Linked DNA regions of Tamandua tetradactyla. The protein of the gene in region 2 binds, or shares a complex with, the protein of the main gene of each other region. Links are inferred from orthologs where the notes say so. Each region holds a gene or a part of one and is shown on either strand. Other genes may lie near its edges.

What was found. Proteins that work in one complex are often made in the same cells at the same time.
Region 1: SNRPB (region 2) and GEMIN5 share a complex: the UniProt entries of both Homo sapiens proteins name them as parts of the SMN-Sm complex. The link is inferred for Tamandua tetradactyla from reciprocal best matches to the Homo sapiens genes SNRPB and GEMIN5.

What each region holds. Positions count from the first base shown.
Region 1 is NC_135346.1:35,940,617-35,948,128, forward strand, and holds the start of GEMIN5 (gem-associated protein 5), read right to left. Parts: upstream 3,273-7,512; 5' UTR 3,125-3,272; coding exon 2,965-3,124; intron 2,172-2,964; coding exon 2,011-2,171; intron 1,296-2,010; coding exon 1,114-1,295; intron 1-1,113. Other genes in the region: MRPL22 (large ribosomal subunit protein uL22m), read left to right, coding at 4,588-4,669, 4,752-4,800. UniProt on the Homo sapiens protein: The SMN complex catalyzes the assembly of small nuclear ribonucleoproteins (snRNPs), the building blocks of the spliceosome, and thereby plays an important role in the splicing of cellular pre-mRNAs.
Region 2 is NC_135327.1:24,251,513-24,259,554, reverse strand, and holds the start of SNRPB (small nuclear ribonucleoprotein-associated proteins B and B'), read left to right. Parts: upstream 1-4,937; 5' UTR 4,938-5,077; coding exon 5,078-5,080; intron 5,081-7,448; coding exon 7,449-7,600; intron 7,601-8,042. UniProt on the Homo sapiens protein: Plays a role in pre-mRNA splicing as a core component of the spliceosomal U1, U2, U4 and U5 small nuclear ribonucleoproteins (snRNPs), the building blocks of the spliceosome.

The DNA.
Region 1 (7,512 bases), on a different chromosome or scaffold from region 2:
TTTTAACTTCTAAACAGCTTCATTCCTCCACTCATCACCTTTTACCCCTGCATAATCATTCTCTCTTCTGATTAACCTCCACCAGGATAAAAAAGATGCCACTGTCGTCTTCCAGTTAGACCCCTGGCCCCCTCCTCTGGCTTCATGCTGAACATTTTTTACAGTAAATACTGTGAAAAAGTTGTCTCCACGTGCATCTCTACCCCCGGTGTTTTGAACCGACTTCAATCAGACTTTCCCCTCCAACATTTTAGTGAAATTACTCACGTTGCTTTCAAACTAGAGGAACAGGCGTCTCTTTTTAATCAATTTATTTTTTAAATATAACATACAAACACGAACATTCTTACCATATGATCATTTCATTCTTGATACATAATCCATAACTCACAATATCATCACATAGTTGTATATTCATCATCATGAGCATTTCTTAGAACATTTGCATCAATTCAGAAAAAGATATAAAAAGGAAAAAGAAAAACATTCATACATATCATACCCGTTATGCCTCCCTTTCACTGATCACTTTCATTTCAATCTACTAAATTTATTTTAACATGTTTCCCCTATTATTTATTTATCTTTTATCCATATGTTTTACTCATCGGAGTAGACATCTTTGGGAGAGATGGTCACAGTATGTTGAGGGAAAGGGAGATGCCTACTCAGGCAGCTCACCTGAAACAAACTTAATAACAAGTCCCAATGATGGGATCATTTTTCCAATCTAGAGGAAGAGCTAATCACCAGAGAGTCAGATCTTAAGTCATCTGATGCTCAGAGAGTAAATGTTATATCCAAGGGCAAGGGTAGAGAGTGTAAAAGTTCAAAAAAGACATTTAGAAATTCACAGGAGGAATGAGATATGAAGAAGAATGAGGAAAGTACAGTATCAGGGAAACTAAGGAAACAAACAAAGAGAGGGAGTGGGACAGACAATAAGGATCTGGAAGTCACAGGAAATGATGCCAAGGGCTTGGTGGGGGGGACGACAGTAAGCACTTGCAAACAGGCTCCTTTGAGGAATAAACGGATGGGAGGAAGTAAAGCAAAGGTAAAATATGATCATAAACAAAAATAAACCATCAATATAAATGGCACAATACTCACCCAATGGCTACTAAATCTTCCTGATGAGGTGAACAAGTAAGGCAGAAAATTGTCCTGGGCTCTATAAAGAGGTGCTGGCTGTCATTTCTGTTAAGCCAGTAACAGATAACTACTCCTTTTTCATCCCCAGATACTATTAAGTCCTTTACTCGAGGAGACCAATGCAAGGCTGATATCGTATGCTTTAAAACAAACAAAAATGTCTTTGTTTCCCTTTTGCCAATGCTGAGTTTTTAACCCTTACTAAACATCATCACAATGCTAACACATTATAGATACTCAACAATACTTGTTAGTACTAGTTGTAGAGCAAGATTTATTAACAAATAATAGAAAAATGTAGGCTTTTAGGGAAGAATCATTTTTTCAAAAGACCCATTTCTTCCTTTAATAGCTTTTGTGCAAAATTTGTACTAAGATTAAGCAAGTCTTTTCCTTTCCTTTGTTTTCTCAAAAGGCAGGTACACCAATCATCTTGTTTAGAAATGAATTTTCTTGATTCATCAATGAACTATATAAGGGGTAAACAAACTTTTCTCTAAAAGACCAGATAAATATTTTAGGCTTTGTGTCTCCTCTGCCGTACATGGAAGCAGCTACAGATAATGCTTAAATGAATGAGTGTGGCCATGCCCTAATTGCTAAACTATTAGCAAAAACAGGCAACAGGGTAGCCTGCCAACCTCTGGTTTATATGCAGCTCCTTTCAAAATAGTTTTGAGATACATTACAATATACTGTTTTTTTTTCCTTTTTAAATATACTGCTTCTAATCTAATTAATAGATGCAATTATAGAAGCTACCTTGCACAGATGAGCTAGCAAATGTATAGCTGAAGCAAAAGAACTCCCAGCACAAATATAAAAGTGATCTGAGAAAACATTAAGCCATGTTACCTGATGGACTGCATGTTCTGCCACAACTGTTTTTGTCTCTACATTCCAGATTTTCACAGTCCCATCGTCGGAGCTGGTGGCACAGAGGCTGTATTGACCAGGGTGATGAGAAAACGTGAAGCCAGAGACTCTTTCGGTGTGTCCCACCAACTCCCCTATAACTTTAAGCAAAACCAAATGCCAGATTAATTAAAGCTTCTACCCAGGATTCCAGGTAGAATCATACTGGTTGGTGGGCAAGCAGATGCTATGGAGTTAGTTATTTCACGGTATAACAAAAAGATGTACAGACCCAATCAAAAACCCCAAGTTCTGGCACTGGCTCGGCCATGTGACTTTAGACGAGTCATTTTCTCTCTCTGAGCATCAGTCTTCTCAACTATAATATGATGCTGATATCCTTTGCTATGTCTAATTCAGAAGCTAAGGAGCACCTTCAAACGAAAAATGTGAAAGTGATTCTTATTTTGATCTGATCAGAGATCGTTTGGAATAAACTAAGTATGTGGCATGTCATATCCCAAGGCACAATTAAGACCTAGTTTGGAAGCTGAAAGCATCTGTTTCAACCTATTCATTTTACAGAAACGAAGATCACACAGTTGCATGTTCTTATTTAGGCCCTACAGCTGGAGGCAGACCCCCATACCCCAGAAATCTTCTAGGGGACCTGCGCATACACTAGGGAAGAGACGCCACAAATGTTATAAAAGCCTGGGACCATATAGGGCTAAACTCTAAGTAAGCGAGCGGTCCCACGTGCAAGGGCCAGCAGTCGGGACCTGTTGACCACAGTTCTATCTTGGACACCTGGACGCGACTCGGCTGAGTGATCGTGGTTAAACTGCTTCCCCTGTCTCGGCCTACCTCTAGGAAAATGGGTGTCTGGATGCCCACTCGGCGTCCCGGAGGAGCGCAGGAAGAGGAAGGCCCGGGCCCCGGGGAAGGGATTACCTCGAAATGGGGGCGTCCCAGGGCAAGTGCCCTGGCCCACGCGGACCAGAAAGACTGAGGTGCGCGCCGCGAAGCCAAAAAGGCCCCCGGGCACAGCATCGCTGCAGCGGGCGCAGTACCAGTTGGGAGAAGGCGGCAGAGTCCGCGGCTCCTGCCCCATGACCGGAGGCCGCCGGGACTGAAGGAGCAGCCGCCGAAGCTGTCTGCAGTCCCACGCCGTAGCCCGGAAGGGAGGCGGAGCGGGCTTGGAGCCCCGCCTCCTCAGTCTCGTCCCTACGGCGCGCTCCTAGGTCCACATCACACCACTCGCTACGCTCCCGCCTCCGCCTAAGGGCTGCGAAGGGCGGGGCTACGCCCGCTGTGATCTGCCAACTTAACCTAGTCTGCCTTCTGAGGGTCACCCCTCCCAGGGACTGAGGGGCTACTGCTGCCTGCTTCCGTACCCGGGGTTAGGCGTTCTCTCTTCTCACAGCAAAGATACATAATTAAGGGATTAAACTGATGGAGTCACATCCCCACACTGCTGATTTATTCTTCGAACCTGTTCAATCACCATTCTCATTCTCGCTTTAAATATTTTTTGATCGCTCAATATGAGGCCACTTGGCTAGCTTTGGAGGCTCTTTATATAAAGATTGTTAAGAGACCAATTAGCAAAACATAAAAGGATGAAGGAACCGTTTCGATAACTGGGTAGAAATTCTGACTCTGGGTTCTTAGTACTCAAAGATTAAAGAGAAGCAAGAATAGATTGATTCTTTTTATTTACTTGATTGAGTGCCAAGTTAGAAGGGAACTGTAAGTGGTAAGTTATTGTGGAGGAAAAGGAATAGAAGTTTTCTTTCAACTCAAAACATGCAGATTCTGTACTTAACACTCACCCACTCCTATATGGCTTGTTTGGATCTAGCACTCATGCATATATATCAAACCGAAACCTGAAATACCTATCGTTAATAGAGGACAAGCATAGATAGTAGGTAGGGGCATCAACTATGGAGGCACCCAGCCCTAAATTGACCTCTGTTTTTGCCAGTTTTTAGCTGAAAGGTTAATTTATCGAAAATATTTTCCCATCCGAAGGAACATAATCCGTGTATCTCTGGATTTCTTTGAAGAATAAATGAGATTTAGTTAGTACAATAACTGGTGGGATGTATATGGTAGTAAGTGTCAGGTGAATATTAACATCTCTTGGAGATGATCCTGGAGATTAGTAGCTATTAGGCCTTCATACTTTGTATTTGAACAGTGTCTTCTTTGAAAGAGCTTTCACCTGATCTCTAGCGATCTTTAAAGCAAACCTGGGGTGTAGCGACAGTTATTTCTATCTGTATTTTATTGTCGTGTAAACTGAGGCCCATCGGGTTATGCGGCTTGTTTATGGACTTGTTTCCCTAATCCTTTCAGACCATTTGTGAGGTGAGGCTTCGCAGTTTTTCTGAATCCCGGTGAGTTTCCGGAAACTCAGTACTTTTCGGCCTTTATTAAGTCATTCGTTCCCAAGCATGCTGGCCTAACCACAGGTTAAGTGCCAGACGGGTGTTCCCAGTCTCCATGACAACGCGGCTGGTACTAGCAACTGTTGGGTCTAGGATGGGTAGGAAATCCGGGGTATTGCGCATGCGTCATTTCCCGCCGGTGTATGAACTCGGAGGCTTCCGTAGGAGGGGGAAGATGGCGGCGGCCATAATGGAACAGTTAGGTGAGGATTTTTTAGTAATTACAGGACGGAAGAAGGGAGTGGAGGTAGGAGTCTGAATTGACGACTTGTGTTTATGTTGCAGGTACGTTATGGATGCTGAATCTGAGGAGCCGGGGGAAGCTGGCCTTGGGGTAGGTCTCTCGTCTCGAGGTTACAAAAGGTTACAAGGCCTCTTTACTAGTCTCCCAATTACTGAAAGCCTGTGTGTCAAGGTTTGCTTTAGACTCTAGGGTGCAGAGACGAACAAGACGGCCAGAGTCGCTGCTTTGTTACTCCATTTTTCCGCCACCAAGGTGCATATCTTGTGCAAATCACTATTACCCATTAACCAAGAACAATTGTGATATCTTTTCTGAACTCTGGTCTTTATGGATAGTCTCCTCAGATCTCTTTGGTGTGTGGTTGGGTGTGAATCCACTTGTTGACTATGTGATTTTGAAAAAAAACTCCTTATCCTTTCTAAGCTTGAGCTATTTCTTATGTAATGTGAGATTAATGAATCTTAAATGAGATAATATATATGAAGTGTTTAGTACAATGTAGGGCAGGTACTAAATCTTGGCTGTCATTATTATTTTTATGGTCATACGTTATTATTGAGTTCCCGTTATATTTAGCCCTGTCTTAGCTTCTTGGATCAGGGGATTGAAGACGTGGGCTAAAGAAGAAAATGGAAAGCACTGGCTCTTAGAATTTGTCTGCAGTTTGCTTTCTTACATTACCTTCTCTGGCTCCACCCCCAACTGTAACCGATACCCTGCTGGCAATAGTGCCAACTGAGCCCTGTTCCAGTTTGTTAGTCTCGAAATTAAAATAATTTGGAGAAGAGAGGGCCAGTAGGAATGAGTAGTAAAGTTTATTAAAGAAAGTGAAAGAGTACACATTAAAGAGATAATGTGGATGTGTTCAAGGGAGAAACATGCAGTGAGTGAAGTGGGTTAGCTTGTTTTGTAGGAAAGTGTTACTGGTGGCAGGTTTCCATAGTAACCTTTGAATACCAGATGTCTTCTTTGCACAGTTTCTACAAGGTTTATATTAACCAGGTGCTTATAGGGCTAACATTGTTTCAGGAAGAGATGACTATTGATGCTTGTGACCAACCCGTCGTGTATCCAAAATTTGTTTTTGGGCTGATCTTTACAATTCCAGGTTTTCTGTTATTAACGAAGAGGTTGTTTGGGGCTCATTATTTTACAAACTTTTATGGTTTGGGGAGGTTTTGATGGTTTGGGGGCTTTAGGGGAAGTATTTGTTCCATGAAGTTTACAACTGAAGTTTGCGGTTTGCATTAATTCCTTTGGAGCTAGATAAGAAACAAGGGACTTCAGTTGTTTATTAATTCTTTTTAAGAGCTGGATAGTAAACAGGGCCCTCCAGTTATCTGTTAACTCTTTCAGAACTGGATAGGAAGGGACTTGCAGTTTTCCTATGCTACTTCACAACCATATTGATTTACCTGTTCTGAATATACTGTGCATTTCTTGCTTCTTGCCATTTTTTTGTGCTGTGATTTCCCTATTTATAACTCCAGTCCAACTCATTATTCAAGCCCCTGTTCAAATGTTTCTCCCTTCAGGGCCGTCTTCCCAGATTTCACTAAAACTGAAATTTTCTCCTTCCTCTTAGCATGTGTGCCTCGGATCATGGCTTCATATATATATATATTTGTATCCTTTACTAGCTTGTGTATCCTGAAGTGGTAGGGATACTTTTGCTTCTGTTTGTAGCTCCAGCTCAGGGTCTTGCTCAAACTACTTTGTTAATATTTGTGGATTTGAATTATCCCACACCAACTTACACTGGAAACAGTGAGCGAGTAACTTAAGCAGTTTTGGCTTCAGTCTTTTCATCTATCTCACATATGGAATAGTGTTGGATTTTGCTAGGATAATCTCTAAGGCCCTTTCCAGTTTGAAGTTATAGAATTTAATGAATGCCCATTCTGAACTTCCTAATGGAAAGGACAGGTTATGTCCATACGAAAACTAAGTGGAAAAGGTATTAATAATGCCCATGATAACAATGTAAAATCTTTGAGATCTTGTAATTCAATGATTAGAAATTTAATTGCATACAAGGGGCCAAATAGGTAATAGAAATGAGTGAACTAGGAGAAGTGGTCGATGTAAAATGAGGGGAATGGCAGGGCCTGTGGCAGTCAGTAGAGTTCATGCCTCATTTAAAGATATTGAATTGGATTAAGACAAAATGCCGTTGCCCAAATTAACTTTTCTGCGGGCAGGCTGTTTACAACCTTTGAATTCCAAGACTTTCATTTTCCTCATGAATGCAAATAAATTTTGTGACTTAATGAAGGCTACACGGTTAATAGGATATGAGTGCTCTTTCACATGATGGGATGGATGGAATGATGGACCCAGAAGGAGTTTGTCAAGGGAGTTTTTTTTTTTTTGTAAGATATGATTTTTTTTTAAAGTTTGTTTTGAGGAATGCAAGAATTCATTTTGGTGGTTTAGAAATAGAAGGGCTAGTGTTAAAGTTTGAAGGCTTTAATGATTAAGTTAGGTTAAGATACTCCATGAGAAAAACCAAGTTGGAAATGACATGAATTGGAGGTTTGGTGGACAATTGATGACAGCAGGGTAATATATTTGAATAAACATTGGGTTGCAGAAGATAGAGTGAGCTGGATTTCAACCCCGACTCTATTGTGACCTTGGATAATTTAACTTCCAAGTTAACTCCAAAACTTGGAGAATCAATTTTCTTATTTCAAAAAATGAGGATAATATCTACCTTAGAGGATGGTTGTGAGGATTAAGATGTTAAATGTTTACTATGGTACCTGACACTGTGGTGGTGTGGTGAGGGAATGGTATCAT
Region 2 (8,042 bases):
TCATACATTGTCTTCTTAATATCTTCTCTTTCTTTAGTCATATTTTCCTTCATCTCCTTGAACTGATTTAGGAGATCTGTTTGAACATCTTTGATTAGTTGTCCCAAGTTTTGTGTCTCTTCTGGAGTTTTAAGTTGTTCTCTTGACTGCTTCTTATCTTCCTGCTTCTTAATATGACTTGTAATTTTTTCTGTAGTACAGGAACTGATTATCTTGTTGTGTTTACTCTGAAGGTCAGTTTTTTTTTTTTTTTGTTTTTGGCCTAGGGTTTTATTGTTGGTTGGCTTTGTATTAAGTTCAACTTCTTTGATGCTTAGTTCAACTTATTCTAGACTTTTAACATAGCCTGTATTTAACTGGTCATATTTTTTTTTCAGCTCTTCATCTGATTCTTGTTCTGTATATGTGGCACAATTTTTAAGATTGCATTTTTTGTGCAGTTGTTTTACCTCTAGGAGAAAGCTTCCTTTCCTCTGCTCCTTCTCTGGGGTCTTCTTCTGTTCTGTTTTTGTTTTGCCTCTATAGTTTTTTAAACTCCTTTCATTGTCTCTAGCTGCTTTTGCCTGGAGGGCAAATTCTGGGAGGAGAGTTACCCCAGAGAGGAATAGGGTCAGGGACCCACAAAAGGGGCACAGATGGGTCCAGAGTGCCTGGGGAGGGGATCAGAAAGGATAGCAAAATTCTTTTTGATGCCTCCCTGTCCATCAAAGAAGGGGGTAATTGAGGGAAGTCCCTAGTCCCCTCACCATGAAGTCAGCTTTCCAGTGGATTCTCAGTTAACTCTCGTAGGCAGAAAGTGTGTGCAAGTGCCTGGGAATGTGGCTCCCACCCCTTGCCACTTTTACACTCAAGTCCCTTTGCCAGAACTGTAACAGCAGTACTTTACTTCTAGTCAGAACTGGAGGCCATTCTTTAGTAGGACCGGATGGCTTATTTAGGACACTAGATCAATGATCTCAAACTCAAATGCCTGTGGCATCTGGACAAGACCTAGTAAGAGAGGACCCAGCCAGATTGGTTAGGAGAACCAATTGGTTTGGAGAACTGGGGAGTTCAAACTCAAGTAGTTTCATGTATTCTTCCTGATCTCATCACTCGTTCCACTCCAAAAAAGTCTCTGGGCCTACCCCTTCTTAGCCTTTTCATTTGACCATCCTGATACCCTGTCCCCTTCTTTGAGCTGTGACCTTTCACTCAGAGCTCACCATCATTCTTCCTCACCTTTAGTTTCAGAATTGTCTTTATCATTATGATTTTGCTGGGTTTTCTGAAAAGCAGCCGTGGATTGTGAAAAATTAATGTCAATTTTAGTATGGAAATGTTTGATTTAGTGATCTCAATGGTGTGGGGACCTGACAAAAGAGCTTGTCAAAATACTTCTACTGGAGGGTAGCAAGGCTGATACCTTGTGTAATGAGCCCTTTTGAGAGCCATCTGAGGGTCACAGAGCAGATGTGGGGAAGGGAGACAATAATCGTGAACAATCTGACATCAAGTGGTTGTGGAATCAGGTATGGTGATTCAGCTCTAACCTAAATTTAAATATTGGTGCATATTTTTCTTATATATGCAAAATAAGCATATATAAGTTTTGTATCCATTTTTTTCCTAAAAGAAAACAGGATTCTTGGCAAGCGCAAGATTCTTTCACAGTATAGTCTTTTTCTGTTAGTAAATGTCATACTGTGCTTTTTTAGTTCCTCTTCCTTCCAATATGCATAATATATATATATGGGATAAAATCCATATTCTCATTGTGTTTAGAGTGTTTTTATGTAGCCCTGTACCTTATTCTTTAATTTTAATACAGCAAATTGCTTTGGAGAATAGCCATTCTCAATCTTTTCACTTCTCCCACACAGAAGTAATGCATAAATTGACACCAGCTTTGGTTCTGAGAATTCCCTTATCTGAGGTTAGCTGAAACTGTCAGCTATTTCTTTACCACTCAAAGAGATATATAAGGAACCTTTTTAAACCAAATACAAGACCCATCTACAGACCCATTCCCAAACTTGAATATGCCCACCTAGGACCTGTCTGTATCTCCCCTCTACTCCTTGGAAATTACTGTTAAAAACCACTGCCCCTTCAAGTAGGCCAGCAGAAGAACCTGGAAACATGCCAATCTGAACTCAAATCCCACTACTTAACATTACTGTGTGAGAGTGCAAGTTTTTATAATTATTTTAAATTTCTTTTTGGTTTGCAAAGATGGTGGTACCAATCTCTCCCATCCCAGATGCTCTTCCTATCAAGACCTGGAGTATTTTTCCATTGTAACTGGTCTGGCTTTGGAATCTGATTTTATCATAAGAAGTGGCAGATGTTGCAGAATTTCTGAGGCTAGGCCTCTCTTGCTGCCCTGAGACCATCATGTGAGGATGCCTGGACCGTCTCACTGCTGGAGAATGAGAGGCCATCTGGAGAGAGAGGTTCAACTGATAGTTAGCACCAAACACCAGATGTGGGTGAGGCTACTAGGATTATCCAGCTCCAGTCAATCTGCCAAATAGTCACATGAGTGTCCCCAGGTAAGAGCAACAGAAGACTCACTATTCAACCACAGGATCATAAGATATAATTTTGTTTTAAGGCACCAGTTTGGGAAGGGGAAGTTGCTATACAGCAATAGACAACAATTTCATAGTAGTAGCTAATGGTTAATTGAATGCTTTCTCCATGCCAGACATGGCACTAGGTTTCTTAATTGCATTCTCTCATTTCATCCTTCCAGTATTGCCTGTCAAGTTGGTAATATTATCTTCATTTTACATAAGCATAAAGATGTTAATTAACACACGTAAGGTCACCCAGCACTGAGCCCATGCTTTAACTACTAGGCTATTTGCTAAACGTTTAATTCTGTTGTCCCAGACTATACTGCAACCCATCATTTTCACTTTCTATCTCCTAAGCAGCCACCATTTGACTAAATATCATACATTCAGTAGGATTTACTGCTGTCTCCTATGGACCAGAAATTGTGCTAGGGACTGAGTATAAAAGTGAATCACGGTGGTATCTTGGTATCCAAGTTAAGCTGAAAACACACATACACACTCACCCCTACCTGGAATACGGGTCAAAAACACTGAGTGCCAATACAGGGACCTCTGAGTTACTATTAAGAGCTATTTTGCCAAATACATGCTATTGCCAGGCACTCTTCTGAGCATTTAACTCTCACACCTTCTGTGGGAGGCATGTTGTTTTCTTGTGTCTGTCAACCTGTAGATGAAGAGATAAAGGCTCAGAGATGAAATGTCTTGCCCAAGGTTTCACAGCCACGAGGTGGCAGAGTCAGATCTGGAATCTAGGCCCTTCTGGCTCTTTAGCTGTTCTCTTGCCCAGAAGTCACCCTGTGTTAGAAGACATGCATCCATGCATGCATTCAAAAATATTTACTTAGCATATGCTAAGGCCAGGTAATGTTATTGGGATATAAAGCCTCCGCCCTCATGGAGCTTATCTTCTAGTGAGAAAGACAGACAATAAACCAAATAAATAAGTGTATAAAGTAACAGAGTGGTAAGTGTTGAAAGAAAAATAAAGCAGGACAAGGGAAAAGGTAGGGAAAGGCTCTCTGAGGAGGTGTGAGCAGAGACCTGAAGGAAGTGAAGACCCCAGCAATGGGAATATCTGAGGTGGGAGGGGGAGGGCAAAGCCCCTGAGACTCAAGATTTCCTTGCTGGGTTTGAGGAACAGCAGGGAGACCAGTGTGGCTGGAGCTTGATAAATGAGGGGAAAGTGGAAGGAGATGAAGTTGTAGAGCAAGGCAGCAGGATTTCATTGCACATGTACTGGGAAGTCATTTGGAAGTGGAGAGCAGGGCAATGAAATAATCTGATAGAATCCCAGTTTATCATAGAAGGATTCCTGAGGCTGCTGTGAAAGCAGAGAGACCAGTTAGGGGGGCTCATTCAGCGATCCAAGATTGATGATAATGGCTAGGGCTGTGGCGGTAGCAGTGGAGGGAGTGAGGAGAGTCAGATGCAAGACATTTCGAAGACAGAGCTCACAGGATTTGCTGATGGACTGATTATGAGGTGGGAGAGAAAGAGAGGAGTCAAAGATGCTTTCAAGTTTGTCATTTTGATTTTTTAACCTAAGCAATTGTGTGAATGGTGGTGTTGCCTCTTGTGAGATGGGAGGCATGTAAGAATTAAGAATTAGAATTCTTAATTCTAGGAAGAGAGGATAGAATTAAGAATTCAATTTTCAAAATTTTAAACTTAATATCCATATTAGGCATCCATATCAAACAAGAGGCTGGATATAAAAGACCCAAAGTTAAATGAAGGGACCAGCGTTAGAGGAATACACTTGAAAGTCATCAGTCTTGGGACTGCATGAGAGTCATTCATTCAACAACAGTTATTGAGCTCTTATTTTGTGCTAAGCAGTGCTCTAGGCACTGCCAAAGAGAACAATACACAAAGAAACCCCCTACCCTCACAGAGCTTATGTTCTAATGGGGGTGGGTAAGCTAAGTAACAAAAATATATAGTATGTTAGATGGCAATAAATGCTAAGGAGAAAAATAAGGCAGAGGTGATGGGTGGAAAGGTATTTTTAAACAGGTTGGCCCAGGAAGTCCTTACTGACAAAATTTTCTTTGAGCTTAAGCGTGAAGGATGTTTGGGCATGTGCTGACGTACATGCCCCCTACTAGGCCTGTGGGATGAGCATCCCTGGCAGCCGCAACAGCAAATGTAAAGGCAAGAGAACGTGAAGCAAATTCACGGAAAAGGCAGAGAAGGTGTGTCTGGAGAAGGGAGAGGTAGGAAGAATCTATTACGTAAAGAGAAGGGGAAGGCAGATCGAACAGGAACTTCTCAAAGGTTCTCCGAGAAGTCCAAAGCTTGAAGCCCCGCCCCCGTCCGGAACGCGCGGCGCAGCACGGGAGCCGGAACTCAGCCACCTGGTACCGGGACCGGAAGTGCATTTCTACCCGGCCGCATTTTAGTAACGGCTCCATTTCCTGTAGCGGCGGCGGGAATCGGATCGCTGTCGGGCGTCTAGGCCTCTGCAGAGGCCAATCCGGCGGGAATCGGGACCATCGGGAACCGCCACCATGGTGAGGGGGCGCGGGCCGGCGGCGCGAGAGTCTCCGAGTCTGTATTGGAGTGAGGGCCGCGGCTGCGCGGGGGGAAGAAGTCATGGGTTGGATCTGCTAATGGCGGTGAAGGCCCGAGCCGCGGCCGCTGGGACCGGGTAGAGGCGACCTGGAGCCTGCAGTTCGGCGTGGTGGGGAGTGGAAAGTTGGAACCCAGGAATGCAGGGTGGGGGGGAGCGTGTAACCGCTTCTCCCGAAACCGCTATAGCTACAGTGCCTGGGACTTGGTAGCCACTAAGTAAACTTGCTGCATAAGTATATGTCCGGGCTTTCGGCGCCGGCACCAGGAGCCGGAGGTGGGCCAGGGAGGACCGCGGAAAAGGCTCAGACTTGTGAAAGAGGGTGAGGGGCGGAGACCGAGTTGCGGCGTCCGGTGTGGGGTAGGGCGGGGAGTTGTGGCCCGAAACAAAAGATACTTCCCGGGAGACGTGGATGGGGAAGAGGGAACGGGAGAGTGAATGAGATTATTTGGAGGAGTTCAACTCACTTATTTAGTATATCTGTACTGAGTGTCTGACTTCTCAGGTTCTGGGGCTACAAATTGAAATGTGTCACCGAGTTCGCATATCCTTGGGGACACGGATAATAAATAATCATAACACAGTGTAACTAGTTCAGCGTTAGGCAAAAGTAACGGCGCAGGTTGATGCGGGGTAAGAATGCTTTCGGGAATGGATGATTCCTGAGCAGAGTCCTAAAAGATTTGTCAGAATCTTTTCCAGCAGAAGATGGAAGGAAATACTATATAGACTGGGAATTGCAAGAGCAAAGGCATGTAGGGTAGCATAGTTAAAAGTTACTGGGGGTTGGGGCGGGGCGGGAGAGGGGAGGAGGAAAAGGAAGGAAGAGGTAGAAGATGAGACTGGAGGACGTGGAAGGAGCCTGGTTACTAAAGGCCTTCGTGCTGCTTTATTCTGTTGGTGATGGGCATGTCATTGAAGGATTTTAACTAGCAAAATGACTAGACTCTGTGTTTAGAAAGATTACTCTAGCTGTTTTGTATTGGGTGAGATTTGGAAGCAGGGAAACCTGCTCGGTTACTGTTTGGAGAGTTGGTTAAATGAATAATCACTGGATTCAGGCCGACTGGGTTCTAACAGCTTCCCAGCTGTGAGACAAGGCAAGTTACCATAACCTCTCCTAGCCTCGATGGCCTCATCTGTAAAGTAGAAACAATAAGGGGATCATTTTGAGGATTAAATAAATTGACAGATATTTAGTGCTTATCAAGCATGTAATACACAGTGAACACCCAATAAGAATTAACTGTTAGAAGGCTGGTGAATGTTTCCATAAAGGTTTAGCTCCTTGTGATTAGAACCAGTTGAAAAGGTTATGTATGGGAGACAGACCCATATAACCAGGGGTCTCCCAGGTGGCACAGTACCTTGGTGGAGTCAAGGCTCTGAACCATGCATTTGTAAGAAGGTTCAGGACGTTGTCCTGGTGTGGGTTCAGGTAAACAGCAAGCACAGTGCCCACGACAAGAAGACACCCAATAAATAGGATGACTTCAGACTTGCCCCACATCAGACTGATGGGAGACAGATACCCAGATCAAATACCAGGTCATTTGTTTCTTGAAAGAAATCTGGAGGTCACGTTAAAAAGCAGAAATTTGTTGGGTTAATTTAGAAATAAAGTGTAGCAAGTTACATATTCTCAAAGGTCATTATGTGCTCAAATAGATTAGTGCTTTGGCTACCAGAAAATTTCCCTCTCTCAGAAGCACTTGGGGATTTCATACTCCTAACCTCCACGCTGATGAACTCCTTAGTGATAAGTTTCTTGTTGATTGGATTTCAGCCTTTTTATCACCAGTCCTATTCCAACTCTTTACTCTTTTTTTTTTTTTTTCTGGATGGGCAGGTTCCAGGAATTGCACCCGTGCCTCTAGCATGGTAGGCAAGAATTCTGCCACTGAGCCACTGTTACACTGCCCTCTCTGTCTTTTTAATCATATGGGTGTTCCATAGCACTTGGGTCAAGTCTATAATCTGCACAGTGGCAGATTATTAATCTCATGATGAGTAGATTTGATTGGTTTGGGCAATCCTGTACTCTAACTCCTGAAACTCTGATAACAATAATGCAGTATGAGAAAGATTAACTTTGAGGGGAGAATAGCAAAGCAGTGGGCATAGGTCAGGGCTGAAAACGGGGGTAAGATGGGAGAATTCAGGGAAAGGTCTATGAGTAGCTGGCAGCTGAGAATCTATTGAGAAACATAGGTGCATAGAAAAGAAGGCCTGACCCAGCTTCAGGAAGGACCAGGACCAAATGGGTGGAAAAGAGCTTGAATCTCATCCCCATTGATTTCTCCCTGCAGACTGTGGGCAAGAGCAGCAAGATGCTGCAGCACATCGACTACAGGATGAGGTGCATCCTACAAGATGGCCGCATCTTCATTGGCACCTTCAAGGCTTTTGACAAGCATATGAACTTGATTCTCTGTGACTGTGATGAGTTCAGGAAGATCAAGTAAGGAGGGGGCTGTGGGGCAGGGGGAGGTTGAGGCGGAGGACATTGGATGGGTGGGCCAAGTGACAGGTGCTGCTATAACTTGCCAGTTCCTCTCTTCCTGCGTTCACATTTTAGAGGGCAGACTTAAATGGGGTTATTGGACACTAAGAAATCTCCTTCCTTAGCGCCCAGCAAGCCTGAGTTCTAGTCTAGCAAAATAAAAGTTGTGAGGAGGGCTGCTAGGTTTTTGTTTCTCTGACCTTGTATGCCCCTGAGTACTGGGGTAAAGGGCTGTCGTGTTCTCCCTACAGGTGTGTAAGGGGGGAGAGCTTGATTTTCTGGCCTCATTGCCTATTTGTAAAGCTGTAGCCTAAAGGGCTCTCCCAATGCAGCCTGGTCTGAAACTGCTTTAAGAAGCCTCTGACCCTCTTCAGGGTAAGTGCTCAGCTCCCCATGTGGG